Stegostoma tigrinum: one gene and its partner. The protein of the gene in region 1 binds, or shares a complex with, the protein of each later gene. Links are inferred from orthologs where the notes say so. Each region holds a gene or a part of one and is shown in the gene's direction. Other genes may lie near its edges.

The links. Proteins that work in one complex are often made in the same cells at the same time.
Region 2: the proteins of insulin receptor-like (region 1) and growth factor receptor-bound protein 14-like are in contact, whole or in part, in a crystal structure (PDB 2AUH), measured with the Homo sapiens proteins. The link is inferred for Stegostoma tigrinum from reciprocal best matches to the Homo sapiens genes INSR and GRB14. Residues at the interface, in NP_000199.2 of Homo sapiens: Leu1065, Arg1066, Ile1069, Glu1070, Lys1112, Arg1116, Arg1163, Met1180, Arg1182, Tyr1190, Lys1192, Gly1193, Gly1194, Lys1195, Gly1196, Leu1197, Leu1198, Pro1199, Val1200, Trp1202, Ser1207, Leu1208, Lys1209, Asp1210, Gly1211, Gln1235, Asn1242, Glu1243, Leu1246; in NP_004481.2 of Homo sapiens: Glu373, Asn374, Ser375, Leu376, Val377, Ala378, Met379, Asp380, Phe381, Ser382, Ser386, Val388, Ile389, Glu394, Val398, Ala399, Glu401, Glu402, Gly403, Leu404, Trp406, Arg407.

Annotation. Positions count from the first base shown.
Region 1 is NC_081383.1:6,991,455-6,999,411, reverse strand, and holds the start of insulin receptor-like, read left to right. Parts: upstream 1-4,904; 5' UTR 4,905-6,075; coding exon 6,076-6,151; intron 6,152-7,957. UniProt on the Homo sapiens protein: Receptor tyrosine kinase which mediates the pleiotropic actions of insulin.
Region 2 is NC_081360.1:62,661,003-62,668,753, reverse strand, and holds the start of growth factor receptor-bound protein 14-like, read left to right. Parts: upstream 1-4,716; 5' UTR 4,717-5,231; coding exon 5,232-5,306; intron 5,307-5,599; coding exon 5,600-5,756; intron 5,757-7,751. UniProt on the Homo sapiens protein: Adapter protein which modulates coupling of cell surface receptor kinases with specific signaling pathways. Binds to, and suppresses signals from, the activated insulin receptor (INSR). Potent inhibitor of insulin-stimulated MAPK3 phosphorylation.

The DNA of each region.
Region 1 (7,957 bases):
GTGTTCATCCAGCTTCACACTTTGTTATCATTGCCCGATTGTTTCCTTCTTCTTTCCAGCTGGCTTGGAATGCTAAGATAATTGGAAAGCTCTTGCTGCAAACACTGGATAAGATTGAAAAGGTTTGTATAGAACCTGCAACCTTCTTTTTCTCTGTAGTTCTGCAGCCCACTAAGCATGGATTCATTGGGTTAGCTTGAAGAAGAAACAAGTTGAAGCACGCTGCAGAGCATGCATGTGTGTGCTGGTGAAGCACTGTCTAAGCACTGTCTGTAAAAGCAGAGTAAAACACTTGTTTAATATTTTGGCGCTAAGAAGGGTGCGTACACATATTTGCCTTATTGGGAGTCAAATGATGTTTAGCCTGGAAACATTTGCTACCAGATGATTAAAGATTAATTCCCGCAAAAATGTGCGCCTTTAAATTAATCAAAATATTACAGTCATGTCCTGTCATAGAAGTGCTACCTAATTACAGAATGTTAATGAGCTAATTCCAGCAAGTTTGTATTTCATAATATAATAAAATGTGAGGCTGGATGAACACAGCAGGCCAAGCAGCATCTCAGGAGCACAAAAGCTGACGTTTCGGGCCTAGACCCTTCATCAGAGAGGGGGATGGGGGGAGGGAACTGGAATAAATAGGGAGAGAGGGGGAGGCGGACCGAAGATGGAGAGTAAAGAAGATAGGTGGAGAAGGTGTGGGTGGGGAGGTAGGGAGGGGATAGGTCAGTCCAGGGAAGACGGACAGGTCAAGGAGGTGGGATGAGGTTAGTAGGTAGCTGGGGGTGCGGCTTGGGGTGGGAGGAAGGGATGGGTGAGAGGAAGAACCGGTTAGGGAGGCAGAGACAGGTTGGACTGGTTTTGAGTGGGTGAGAGGGGTGGAGAGGTTGAGGCGGTTAATGTCTCGACGGCAGTTGGAGATGAAGAGGTCGAGGGAGGGTAGGAGGCCTGGGGGTGGTGTCCAGGAGGAGGACTTGTGTTGGAAGCGGGTGAAGGGGTCAGTGGAAGGAGGGTTGGGTTCCCGGTTGAAGAAGTAGGCATGCAGGCGAAGACGGCGGAAAAACTGCTCTGTGTCCGACCGTGACTGGTATTCGTTGATGTGTGGTTGTAGGGGGACAAAGGTGAGCCCCTTGCTCAGGACTGACCGTTCGTCCTCAGTCAGTGGGAGGTCTGGGGGGATGGTGAAGATTCGGCAGGGCTCAGGGTGGCTGTCTCCTCTGGGGTTGCAGGCTGTGGAGGTTCCTGAGATGCTGCTTGGCCTGCTGTGTTCATCCAGCCTCACATTTTATTATCTTGGAATCTCCAGCATCTGCAGTTCCCATTATCTCTGATTGTATTTCATAATTGTATTTTTCACATCATTTTACCATGGTTTCGGAGACTCTCATCATCAGACTGAGTTTTACTGACTGTGGCTGCCTTACTGAAGAAGTAACTTCTATTCAGACCCTTGCTTGTAACATTTATGGGAAGGTTGATAGTGAGGGTGCGACAGGGAACCCACAGTGGCTTGGTCACAGCGGGTAAAAATGAAACAGTCTGTCTTGTCATGTCTAGTCATCCAGGTCAATGGCCTTAGTTTGTAATTTCTACAACATTTACATTTTTGCCACCTTCCCACCCAAAATTTGCTTATGGAATCAGGGACATCCCTGGCACGGCCAGTATTTATTACCTATTCTTAAATCATAGAAGCAGGCCAATCAACAACAGTATTTTGAACAGCATCCATGCAGTCCCACCCCCTACCCTATCCCTGTAAACCTGCATTGCCCCATGGATAATCCGTCTCACCTAAACATCCCAAAACTACGGGCAATTTTGCAATAGCCAATCTACCTAACTGCACATCTTTGTTCTGTGGGAAGATCCCAGAGAAAACTCCACACAGATGATCACCCAAGGCTGAGATTGAATCCAGGTCTCTCGCAGTGTGAGGCAGTAGTGCTAACCACTGAGCCATTGTGTTGCCAATGGCTCTTGAGTAGGTATTGATGGGCTGTCATCTTGAGCTGTTACAGTTCATGTGGCTCAAACCATGACCATGCTGCTGGGAGGGAATTTAGCAACAAAACCTTCCACTTTTATAGTGCCTCTATGTGGTAAAAAATCTCAAGCTACTTCACCGATGCATATGGAAACAAAATTTGACCCTGAGCCATACAAAGAGCTATTAGGACAGGGACAAAAAGCTTGGTCAAAGAAGTAAGGTTTAAGTATTTTATTTAAAGGAGGATGGGGGAGAGAAAGATAGAGGAGCTGAGGTGGGTTATGCAGGATAGTCAAATGTTCAAAGTCAAAACAGCTGAATGCATGGTGAAACGATTAAAATTGTTAATCCACGAAAGATAAAAATTTGATGTATGGCGATATCTCAGTGGGTCTTTGTGCTGGAGGAGATTACAGAGAAAGGGAGAGGTAAGAACATGGAGGAATTGGCAAACATGAAGGAGAATTCTAAAATTATGCTATTTTGTGATTGGGAGCCAATGTAGTTCTGTGAGCACATGGGTCTTGGGTGAATGGGACTTGGTGCGAATTAGGACAGAAACAATAGAGTTTTTAATACACTGAATAAAAACCAAAAGTACAGCGGACGCTGTAAATCATAAACAAAAGCAGAAGCTGGAAAAGCTCAGCAGGTTTGGCAGCATCTGTGAAGAGAAACCAGAATTAACGTTTGGGTCTGGTGACCCTTCCTCAAGGCACTTCGGCTGGTGTAAAATCTGAAAAATACCACACAGATCCAATAGGGGGAACTCTTTTCAGCTGGGGCAATAGGCACTTTGTTGGAGTGGAGTATTTAACAAATGGTATTCCTGGCTGATAGCTCAATGCTGACACTTGATACGCAAAATGCCAAAAATATATCGTTATTCAAAAGTGAAAATTTAGCACAGAATGAATAAATATTTTTTCAGATACCAAAACATTTAAAAAGTCCAGTTTGAGAATACATTGCACAATATACGAGCATATGATCAATTAACAAGTTTAAATTGGCTACAGTGACAAAGCTGAGGATACCCCAAAAGGTACTTAATTGGCTGTAAAATGTATTGAGGTGAAGGAGGTCACGAAAGGTGCTTATAAATATTCAAGTTTTTTTTAGCTAATTCCTTTTTTAATTGATAGGGGCGATGATAGCCTAGAGGTATTGCTGCTGAACTGTAAATCCAGAAACCCAGGTAATGTTCTTCAGAGATAACAAGGTGTGGAGCTGGATGATCACAGCAAGCCAAGCAGCATCTTAGGAGCAGAAAAGCTGACGTTTCAGGCCTGGACCCTTCAACAGAAATGGGGGAGAGGAAGAGGGTTCCGAAGTAAATAGGGAGAGATGGGGAGACAGATCGAAGATGGATAGAGGAGATGATAGGTGGAGAGGAGACAGACAAGTTAAAGAGGCAGGGATGGGTTTAGGCCGGAATCATCAGCTTTCCTGCTCCTAAGATGCTACTTGGCCTGCTGTGTTCATCCAGCTCTACACCTTGTTATCTTGGATTCTCCAGCATCTGCAGTTCCTATTATATCTAATGCTCTTCAGATCCGGGTTTGAATCCTGCCATGGGAGATGATGGAATTTGAATTCAATAAATATCTGGAATTCAGACTCCGCGAAAGCATTGTTAATTATCAGGGGCGGAAAGTCCATATGGTTCATTCATACCCATTACATGTTCTGGCTGACTTGTGTCTCCAGACCCATGGTGATTTGCCCTCTGGGCAATTAGGGAACGGTCAATAAATGTTGAATGAATCCTGTGAATGAATAAAAAAAATTCACTAATTTGTCTACAATGTTCAGTAATAATGATACCTTTGACATATGAATACACCTCAAAGTGCTGCACTTCAGACTGCATGAAAGAGATGAGCAAACAATTTCATCTAAAAGACGGGGTGAGAGAGTGATAGAGGTACAGTGAGATTTAGGAAGAAATCTCAGGGCTTCATACCTGAACAACTGAGCACAGTTCCTAATAGTGGAGCAACAGAAAAAGGGGTTTGTAAGAGGTCAGGATTCCAAAATCAGATATCTCAAAGATCGTCATGGGGCTAGGCGATACTATCCATTCTTGGGATGTGGGCATTGATGGCAGGATCAGTTACCCTTAAATTGATTGGCTTGCTAGCCATTTCAGAGTGCAGAAAACAGTCAACCATATTATTATGGATGTGGAGTCACATGTAGGCCAGAATAGCAAGGACAGCAAGTTAGTTTCTTTCCTCGTTACAGAAATGGATTATACAAAAAGGGAGGGGACCGTGATAGAGGACTTTGAAAAAAAGGATGAGAATTTTAAATCTAATTATTTTCAAAGTTGATGCCAATGTAGGCCGCTACCCACTGGGGTGATGGGTAAACAGGACTTGGTGCGAGTTGGGATACAGATCAGAAAGTTTTGAGTGGGCCCAAATTTATGAAGGAATTGGAGGTCTGATAAGGAGAAAATTGAAGGGAATTAAAGAACATTAATGCATCTGCTGAAATGCAGGATTAAATAAAAGTACACATACTCATCAAACATTGCTATCGTGCTACCTTACATTGTGTAAAATTTCAGAATGCCCTTTTCGAATAAATATTATCTCGTCTCTGAATTGTTCTTTTGCCTTCAGTCCAATCCAATCTGAGGTGGCTCCGCTCACATTTTCAATGTCTCCGAAACAATGTGTCTTGTAAAACCTGTTTTCTTTTTTATCTTCTCGCATCCACAGTCCAGATTTTAGATTTCTCTCTCGCTCTCTCGCTCTCTCTCTGTCTCTCTCCGTTTTTAACAGTCCAGTCCATGAAACTGTAAACTCCTGGTTCAGATTTTTGTGACTGTCGAGGCTCACTTGCTCTCCCCTCCCTCTCCTCACTGGGCTGGCGGTGCTTGTTTACTCGACACAGCCAGAAGAAGTTTGCGCGTGGTTTAAGGTTCAAGGCTCCTCTGCTCCTCAAAATCGTATTTTTATTTTGTTGCTTGTCCACCAGTTCCCCTCCCTCAAAAAAAGAACAATTACATTTCAATTTATTTTACAAAGAAGAAACACAAGAGAAAGAGGAAAAAAATAATTGGGAAAAAAAGAAAATCAGTTTGGAGTGTGTTGAAGCCAAAAGGGGAAAATACCTTGAAGGATTTTGTTATGCAGTTTGGCGCCTGGTGTTCTGATAATTTATTAAACATTTTTTTTGTTTTGTTCCAATGGTGAATTAGTGATCTCTTTGATGTTTTCTTTGGGCGACTTTGCAATAGAGGAAAAAAAAGAAGAGGAAGCCTAGGCAGAAAGCCAAAGAAAATCAAGTTGATATCGGCTCAAGGAAAATTGTCTTGGAGGATATTTTGGTTTATGTTTGTCGTTTTCTCGACAGATTGTTTCCTGAAGGGATTTTATTTTTAATTCTCTCTCCTCAGGACTGGTAATGTGGGGGAAGAAAGCGGACAGTTTCATCTTCCCGTGATATCATCGAGTTAAAAGGAAATATAAATATATGAAAGGAGTTTGAATATGATATAAAAGAGAAGGAAATGAGGGCTTTCTTGCACTGGGGACTTTGCAGTGAAGCTACAAGCTTTACAACTCCAATGTGATTTCCAGAGCTTTTATTTTGCAGAAGACAATTGAGGAAGATTTCTTCTGCTGCTGTGGAAAAATTAATCCACCAGAAACAAAATAAAGGAGAGGGGAGTTTTTTTTTATTTCCTTGTTCTCCCCAACAATCTCGCCAAAAAAGATTTTGTGGACACGGGTTGAAAAAATACAGATTATTCCCCCACCCTCATAGACAGAATGAAGAATTTGTTCCAATTTAACTGTCAAGATCACTTTATTTAATATTTGTTCAGAGACGATTCAAGAAAATTTCATTTGGAGGGGTCCCTAAAATAGTTGTTATTCTTTGAGAGATTACTTTCTTTTGAAAAAAGCTGCCAGTTCGAAGTGCTGTCCCAAAAACAACTTTTATTAGGCTTGCTGTACATCCCTGAGTTTTATTTTGGTTTTTATTCAGTTATATCCAAGGCCTGTGTGCTTGTGGGGACCGTGGGTTTTGATTTTGATCTGCACCAGGAGAATTCCAGTTCCAGGATGGGGAGGAAGACTTTGATACCAGCCATGGTGACCCTCTTCATCCTGGCCAATATTGGCCCAACAGAACCAAAAGGTAAGTGTTTAAAAACCTTCAAACTAAATCAAGCTTTGTAATTTCACAGTCATTAAGGTTTACAGATAATTTATTCTGACGCGGGTGCATTTTTCCTTCTAAAATTCTGCTAATTTGTGTGAAAATTTAGTCCTGTCAACCTCTTCTCCCAGATTGCTGTAGTTTACGGCCTAATGTGCATCCCAAAGCCTGGGTTTGGATTAGAGAGGGTAGGGGCGACACCTCACACGAATGTAGCTGCAGCTAAAATCGAGAGTCGGGGATGAAGCCTGGACAGGCCCTGTTTTCTTTAATGTTCAGTTTTAAAACAAAAACCTCATTTCTTCCAATGTGAAGTTGTTCTTTTACCATTCTGACATTCAAACCGATTTCCCAATTTTGCTTGGATTTGTAACTGAAGATCTTTTTTGAATGTTACAGTCAGAGTAAACACATTGGTGAGAAGGCAGGACAGATGCAGGTTATTTAAGGAGAGAAAACATCAATTTTAATTGTCTGTGTGCGTTTCAAAAGACATTAATGTTGAAGCTCCTCATTGGGATTAATATGCAGGTTGACAGATTGTGATGGTTTGATTTGGAAAGAGTATGAGATTAATTTGTGAAAACTCTGAGCTTTCCATATCGGAACCTTGAAAATACTGATTTGTTATAAAACACTGCAGGTATTAAAATACCTCTTTTCCAGAATTTTCTGTCATTGTGTGAGTTTTTTTATCTCGCAATTTCATTCTAACGTTAGTGATTATGTTGATTTCTTGGCTAAGTGTATGAATCTGGACATGATCACTGATCCACTTTTCAAAAGTTGTTTGAATCCCTGGAATACCAGTGAAAATCCCATGTAATAAAAAGGAGATTTGACTTGTTCGGTCAGTGCATTGAAAATGGATAAGAGAGCATTCCTCAAGCATTAGGCACAGCCTGAGATTCCATGTAATATAAAGTTGAATTTCACTGATTCATGGTTATATGGTGGCTCTTTGTGTCAAAAGTTGGATCATTAAAATGTTTTTGTAAACTGGGTTCTAGTGAAAGTTGTGTCTGTGACTTTAAGAAAGACTTTCATTCCTACTTTTTAAAAAAACACATTGTGATGTGATTTATTGCCACCCCTTACTAATGTTTCATCTTTTTAAAATATCTAGCATGGGAGAAAATATCACTTATGAAGTGTGCCCCATTATTTTAGAGAATGCTGTAATATAGAATTTAAAGTTATCCCAATATTATAGACAGAAATGTGCATTTTAAAGAGTTCTTTTTATCATGTGGCGACAGTGTTATTGTGGGCGAAGATCTTTCACCTGTGGAAGTATAGATTACAGTCAGATCTGACCGCAGCGGGTGAGAATACATTGTCATCCAGGAGATGATTCTTTGCTGTTCAAGGCAAGCTGGCTAGTAAATAAGAGTCACTTTCACAACTGCAAAATGTGTCAAATAGATTTTATTGAACACTTTTGTTGATACTCCTTTGAAATCCAGCTTTTAAATGCTGCTGCTTTATTTAGTTTACCCTCCACCTCAACCCCATTGTTTTGTTTCAAAAATATTGTGAATTATGTGTTTGGTTTGACCGGCACTTGCCCTGAAATTTTTTTTTGTATTAGAAATTCCATTTGCTGTGAGAATTCAGGTGTACGAGCTGTTTCACTGGAGTTCTGGATACTACGTGTTTCGTCCTGGAGAAAGGGAGTTGTATTAATATTGTACTTTTCACGGCCACTAGACATCACTAATTGTGGTTTACAGACTGTGAAGCATTTTTTGAAATGTGGTCACTGTTGTCATTGTAGGAAACACG
Region 2 (7,751 bases), on another chromosome or scaffold:
TGGGACACTTTTGATGTGGATGTACACTTAGGCAAGGAATCATTGATACTTAGCCTCACAAATATCTCTCATACTGCAAAAGGGAGAATAGTAAAATGATAAAGTTTTAGTTATGTGTTTCTTGCTTAATTTTCTCAAATAAATATTACATCTAGTGACTGATTATTTCACCAAATTTCCTTTTATGTGATAAAATCAAAGAAGTCACTTGTGAAATGTTTGTTGACACGTTGACCACCATGTTCAGCGTACCTCAACAAATTATATCCAGCAACAATCTTCAGTATACTAATGTATCCTTCTAAGACTTCAAATCATAGGGTCATGCAACACGGAAACAGACCCTTCAGTCCAACTTGTATATGCCAACCATGTTTCCCAAACTAAAAGAGGACTACTTGCCTGTGTTTGGCCCATATCTCTCAAAATCTTTCCTATTCATGTACCTTTCCAAATGTCTTTTAAATGTTGTAACTGGACCTGCTGCTCCCACTTCCTCTGGCAGTCCATTCCACATACAAGCTGCCCTCTGTGTAAAAAAAGTTGCTTCTCATCTCCCCTTTAAATCTCTCTCCTCACACCTTAAAAATACCCTCTAGTTTTGAACACCCCTACTCTAGGAAAAAGACCATTGCTATTGACCTTATCTGTGCCCCTCATGATTTTATAAACCTTCATAAGGTCACCCCTCAACTTCCTGCACTCCACTGAAAAACAATCCTGCTTATCCAGCTCCCTTGTAACTCAAGCCCTCCAGTCACATGTGCAGGAAATGGGGTATTCAACTTATTACCTTTTCCCTTAACCAACGTCAATTGAAATGTTCTTGCAGAACACTGCATTGCCTTTAAAGTTGATAATAAATTAACTCTTGCATTGAAAATGTTACTCTAGATGTTTGAGTAGCTTTAGTGACATCACAATTTCATCATGACTGCAAAAATTGAAGAAGGGTAAGGAGTTGAGACATTGGCATTCTTATTCTGATGTCCTTTTATGAGAAATTGGAAACTTTATACTTCTGTTTAATTTGTGTGTTTTTTTTGAATTACGACATTTTAAAGAACAATATAGATGCATTCATATTTGCTCACGGAAAGTGGGTGTTGCTAGACAGGCCAAAATCTATTAACCATCCCTAACTGACCTCAACAAGTTGTTCTAGGGGTATCAGGCTACCCACAGTGCAGTTAGTAAGGGCATTACTAATTAAAAACTTTCTATCCCTTACATTTATTCAGTGTACTGGTGTCCACTGCACTTAAAGGTAGTGAATCCCACAGATTCCTGATCATTTGATACGGTGCCTCACGGGAGGCTGCTGAGCAAGGTGAGGGCCCATGGTGTTAGAGGTGAACTACTGGCTTGGATTGAGGATTGGCTGTCTGACAGAAGGCAGAGAGTTGGGATAAAAGGCTCTTTGTCGGAATGGCAACCGGTGATGAGTGGTGTCCCGAAGGGTTCAGTTTTGGGGCCGCAGCTGTTCACCTTATATATTAATGATCTGGATGAAGGGACTGGGGGCATTCTGGCGAAGTTGGCCGATGATACAAAGATAGTGGACAGGCAGGTAGTACTGAGGAGGTGGGGAAGCTGCAGAAAGATTTAGAATGTTTAGCAGAGTGGTCCACGAAATGGCTGATGAAATTCAATGTGAGTATATGTGAGGTTTTGCACTTTGGAAAAAAGAATATAGGCATGGACTATTTTCCAAATGGTGAGAAAATTCAGAAAGCAGAAGTACAAAGGGATCTGGGAGTGTTGGTCCAGGATTCTCTAAAGTTTAACTTGCAGGTAGAGTCCGTAATTAAGAAAGCAAATGTAATGTTGTCGTTTATCTCAAGAAGGCTGGAATATAAAAGCAGCAATGTGCTTCTGAGGCTTTATAAAGCTGTAGTTAGGCCCCATTTAGAATACTGTGTCTAATTTTGGGCCTCACACCTCAGGAAGGACATACTGGACCTGGAGCGTGTCCAGCGGTGATTCACACGGATGATTGCTGGAATGGTAGGTTTAACGTATGATGAATGGCTAAGGATCCTGGGATTGCACTCATTAAAGTTTAGAAGGTTGAGGGGAGATCTAATAGAAACTTACAAGATAATGTATGGTTTAGAAGGGGTGGACGCTCGGAAGTTGTTTCCGTTAGGCGGGGAGACTAGGGCCCGTGGGCACAGCCTTAAAATTAGAGGGGTAAATTTAAAACTGAAATGAGATGACATTTCTTTAGCCAGAGAGCGGTGGGCTTGTGGAATTCATTGCCACAGAGTGCAGTGGATGCCGGGACGTTGGATGCCTTCAAGGTGGAGATCAACAAATTCTTGATCTCAGAAGGAATCAAGGGCTACGGTGAGAGTGCAGGGAAGTGGAGTTGAAATGCCCATCAGAGATAGTGGGAACTGCAGATGCTGGAGAATTCCAAGATAATAAAATGTGAGGCTGGATGAACACAGCAGGCCAAGCAGCATCTCAGGAGCACAAAAGCTGACGTTTCGGGCCTAGACCCTTCATCAGAGAGGGGGATGGGGAGAGGGAACTGGAATAAATAGGGAGAGAGGGGGAGGCGGACCGAAGATGGAGAGTAAAGAAGATAGGTGGAGAGAGTGTAGGTGGGGAGGTAGGGAGGGGATAGGTCAGTCCAGGGAAGACGGACAGGTCAAGGAGGTGGGATGAGGTTAGTAGGTAGCTGGGGGTGCGGCTTGGGGTGGGAGGAAGGGATGGGTGAGAGGAAGAACCGGTTAGGGAGGCAGAGACAGGTTGGACTGGTTTTGGGATGCAGTGGGTGGGGGGGAAGAGCTGGGCTGGTTGTGTGGTGCAGTGGGGGGAGGGGACGAACTGGGCTGGTTTAGGGATGCAGTAGGGGAAGGGGAGATTTTGAAACTGGTGAAGTCCACATTGATACCATATGGCTGCAGGGTTCCCAGGCGGAATATGAGTTGCTGTTCCTGCAACCTTCGGGTGGCATCATTGTGGCACTGCAGGAGGCCCATGATGGACATGTCATCTAGAGAATGGGAGGGGGAGTGGAAATGGTTTGCGACTGGGAGGTGCAGTTGTTTGTTGCGAACTGAGCGGAGGTGTTCTGCAAAGCGGTCCCCAAGCCTCCGCTTGGTTTCCCCAATGTAGAGGAAGCCGCAACGGGTACAGTGGAAACGTCAGCTTTTGTGCTCCTGAGATGCTGCTTGGCCTGCTGTGTTCATCCAGCCTCACACTTTATTATCCTGAAATGCCCATCAGCCATGATTTAAATAACGGTGTGGACTTGATGGGCCGAATGGCCTTACTTCCACTCCTATGTCTTATGGTCTTATGGTTTATTTGCAAGACGTAATCTATAAGTCTATTTTAAACCTGTAACCTCTAAGCTTGAAAGCTTTTTCTTTGTAGGAACAGTTTGGGATTGTCCACAGGGCAATTTCAAATACCCACCTTAAAAAATGTTCTGCAGTCGCTTGCATTTATTTCAGAGAGAACACTGGAGATACTCAGCAGGTCTGGCAGCATCTGTGGAGAGAGAAATAGAGTTTTGAGTCTGTTATGACAACACAACATCAGATGCATCCTATGGACATCAGTGCGCAGTTCCTGCATGCATCCTAAGGAATATGACATATCAAAACATGGACCACTTTCTCAATGGTGCAACTTGTGCATTCAAAGCTATGAGCTATTATGGCACACATGAGCTGCATGGATTCTTTCATTCTTAGCCCACAACTGCACATAGCCTGAGAAAACTGTGACATGTACAGGAAAGCTGTTGCTGTTTCACAAGGTGGGAGCTCTTTTCCAATGACTACTGAAGGCTTGCAACAGGATTATATCTATATTCCCTCCTCTGAAGGGAACTGAGCAGAGCTGTCTTTTGCTTTTTTTAAAAAATATTATTTTGATTACAGCGGCATCAATTATAATAAAGTAAATATTTCATCTATCATTAATCAAATGTAAGTGACTATTTGATTTCTATTTCACAGTAAAGAATTTATGAGGTCGCTTTAATTTGGAATTATTACATTTGACCTCCAAACATTATCATTTATAAGTTTAGATTGTACATTTCAACTTAATTGGAACTTTTTTTGTATTCGGATATCTTGGACTAAAGCGAGTTGAATACAGTTGTATTAATTAAAACGTTTTCAGGCAAAGATACGGGCATTGAAGCATTGTGTTCTGCACCTCACGATAAAATAAGCACTGTTCCTCGTGAAATATGATAGCTCTGAGCTTTTGTTTGGCCGAGCCACTGAAATTAAAACGCATACAGGGACACTATTGGAATTAAGTCTGAGTGCATTTCCTACATCATTTCTCTATAAGGGAAGTAACTTTTTGCGTTAATATCGCTATAATTTTAAACTTTAATTCCGCAAAATGTAAATTTCTTTCAAGAATTTGCATTTTGTCAAATTGCATTTGTCAAGGAGCTAAGATAACGATGGTTTCAATATTATACTTCGCCAGTCTAAAAATGCGTTGATCATGCAAGATAATCAATTATGGAAAAGACTTCGGTACATGAGGTTTTACGTTTATATTCTGCGTTTGGAGATCCTTTAGTTTTTGTCTTCGAAATCTCCATGCTGACTGATTTAAATAGCAGATTATTTACCTCGGTTCAAGTGGCCTCATAACTCCTCTATAACAAAGTGTAGAGCTGGATGTAACTCCCATTTGCTAAAGCCTTTGATAGCACTTAATCTAGACAAATCGGAATACGCTAAGATATTTTGTGCGTAAGGAGGCTAATTTGTCTCGCCCCTTCTGATCTCATTTACAAACGAAAACTACATGAAGGCTGCTTCAGCAAGTCCGAGGAAGTGCCTTTTGTCTCTCCCCCACCATCCTTCGACGTGAGGCAGAGTTGAATAACCTAAAGTTACAATCGAGTCTTATTTCCATTTTGGTTTCATCCACTTAAAAGCTAGGTTATATGAGTAACCATTCATTCAAATTGAAGTGCGAATCAGAAGTCGTGCAGGCATAGTTCACTCTCTTGGCTTTAAGTTTGAGTACGAAGGGAGGTTCAGCCCATGCTGATTCTTGGAAAGCTAGCCGGTGATTGGGTGAAAAATGTAATAACATGCGGCGGTGGAGTGAGGAGACTGGTGGTGACAGACAGCACCGTATCATCACCTCGTTTTAGACGAGTGCAAGTGTAGATAAGTCCAGTTGATTTGATGTGTCCTAATGTGCAATTTTAGGTTACTTGTGCAATCTTTTTTATAATGCAATGCATACATACTTGCAATGATTGTGGAGCTGACCAAGATATTCAAATTCGTTTGTCGTCATCTCTGCTGGTAAGTAAGGAATGCTAAATAAATAATCAAGATAGAAAAATGTGAACGTTTAGAGAGGGGTTTGAATTTGTTTTTAAATCTGGATGGTATTATAGTTAGTAACATGATTGTGCAGCTTTGTTTTTATCTGGTAGACTAAAATTTGGACAGTTTTCATTTAAAAATTGAAGAGATTTCCATTTTCAGTCATCTATAAGCAGACCATTAAATGATTAATTCATTTCACTTGCTAACATGATTTAGCATATGCATCTATTACAATTTATGCCTTACCCCTTGGTTTTTATATGCAGGTCATTAAAGTATTTAATGAAGATGGCACTAGCCAGACATTGGAGGTACCAAATGACATCATAGCTCGTGATGTCTCTCAGTTGTTTCTCATGAGAAGTCACTGTGTCAGTGACAATACCTGGACACTCATCGAGCATCTTCCTCATCTTGACATGGGTAAATGTGAACATTATGCTTATGAATTTATCTACATGAAGCTGAATTTTTCATTTTTGCTTAGCTTTGTTGCTGTTGATTTTATTTAAAGCCATGTGTTTCAAAGAAATCTTTTTACTCCATATATGCAAGTTGTATGTGTTTTGCATGCATGTTCCGTTCTGTGGCTCATGGTTTATTGTATCATTCCTTTCTTCAACTTAGTCAATTGTGCAGTTGCACAGGCCCAATTTTAGTGCCTATCACAGTGCATATAGAAGCATCTCTTTGAAACAGTTAGCTCCAAATTAAATTGTCCAGTTGTCTGCAGGTAGTCAACTACTATTTTCATAGAGGCAGTCCCTAAGGTAATTTCCATGATAGCCTTTCAATGAGCTTCTAATGATGGTGAATTGGCTGACTGCTTCATATTCTGCAAGATTTTACTTTGACTTTCAACAAAATCTGGTGAGGTGCCAAGTTGAGAGTAGAAACGATCCTGTCGGTAACTCACTTGAAGGACTATGTTAAAATAACTTATGTATTTTGGCAAAATACCCTACTTGTCACTATCTTAATACTCTAAAAACTACCATTTTGATTCAAAAATGCTTCCGATTTGTTGATTAAAGCTAATACTTTCTGTGAAAGTTATCCACATTTTCTGCTGAGCATTGCTTCATTAATGGGATCCACTCCACTTGTATTTATTATTTTATTGCACTGTTGAGGAACTTCTGAAATCTCCATTCGTGCATGATTTCCCTTTTTAATGATAAAAAGTGTTGATTTGAAATTTTAGCTTTGCAGCTGACCTAGACTCAATGGCTTTATTTGGAGGTCACAGTTCCACATGTTCTCTCAACTTTGTGAGGACTTTGCACTTAAGCTGAGATGTAACACATCACGTTGAGCAGTATCAATGGAGTGAAACTGAACTAATGTATCAAATCAAAGCAAATCGAAGAAAGGTTTATGGAAGCTGGAAATCTGAAACAAAAACAATCCGCTGAAGAGATGCCTAACCTGAAGAAGTTACCCTCCTCCCTCCGGACCAACCTCAGGGAATCTCTCTCCCATTGCAACTCTCTTGTAATCTCTTCGGCCTTGAAACTGCTCGACCATGTCCTGAAGCAAACCAGGTACCACAGCCACATCACCTTCCTCAGCACCTGCCTACGGAACCGGATCATCCCCAAGGGACTACAGTCTACGTTTCAGTCTTCCCAATTTGGCCCCAACCGTGACCACCTCTACACCCAGAATATTAGACAGCCACACTGAACCTTGCCGCATCTTCACCATCCCCCCAGACCTCCCACTGACTGAGGACGAACGGTCAGTTCTTAGCAAGGGGCTCACCTTTGTCCCCCTACAACCACACATCAACGAATACCAGTCACGATTGGACATAGAGCAGTTTTTCCGCCGTCTTCGCCTCCATGCCTACTTCTTCAATCGGGAACCTAACCCTCCCTCCACCGACCCCTTCACCCGCTTCCAACACAAGTCCTCCTCCTGGACACCACCCCCAGGCCTCCTACCCTCCCTCGACCTCTTCATCTCTAACTGCCGTCGAGACATTAACCACCTCAACCTCTCCACCCCTCTCACCCACTCACCCACTGCATCCCAAAACCAGTCCAACCTGTCTCTGCCTCCCTAACCTGTTCTTCCTCTCACCCATCCCTTCCTCCCACCCCAAGCCGCACCCCCATCTACCTACTAACCTCATCCCACCTCCTTGACCTGTCCGTCTTCCCTGGACTGACCTATCCCCTCCCTACCTCCCCACCTATACTCTCTCCACCTATCTTCTTTTCTCTCCATCTTCGGTCCGCCTCCCCCTCTCTCCCTATTTATTCCAGAACCCTCACCCCATCCCCCTCTCTGATGAAGGGTCTAGGCCCGAAACGTCAGCTTTTGTGCTCCTGAGATGCTGCTTGGCCTGCTGTGTTCATCCAGCCTCACATTTTGTTGTCTTGGATTCTCCAGCATCTGCAGTTCCCGTTATCT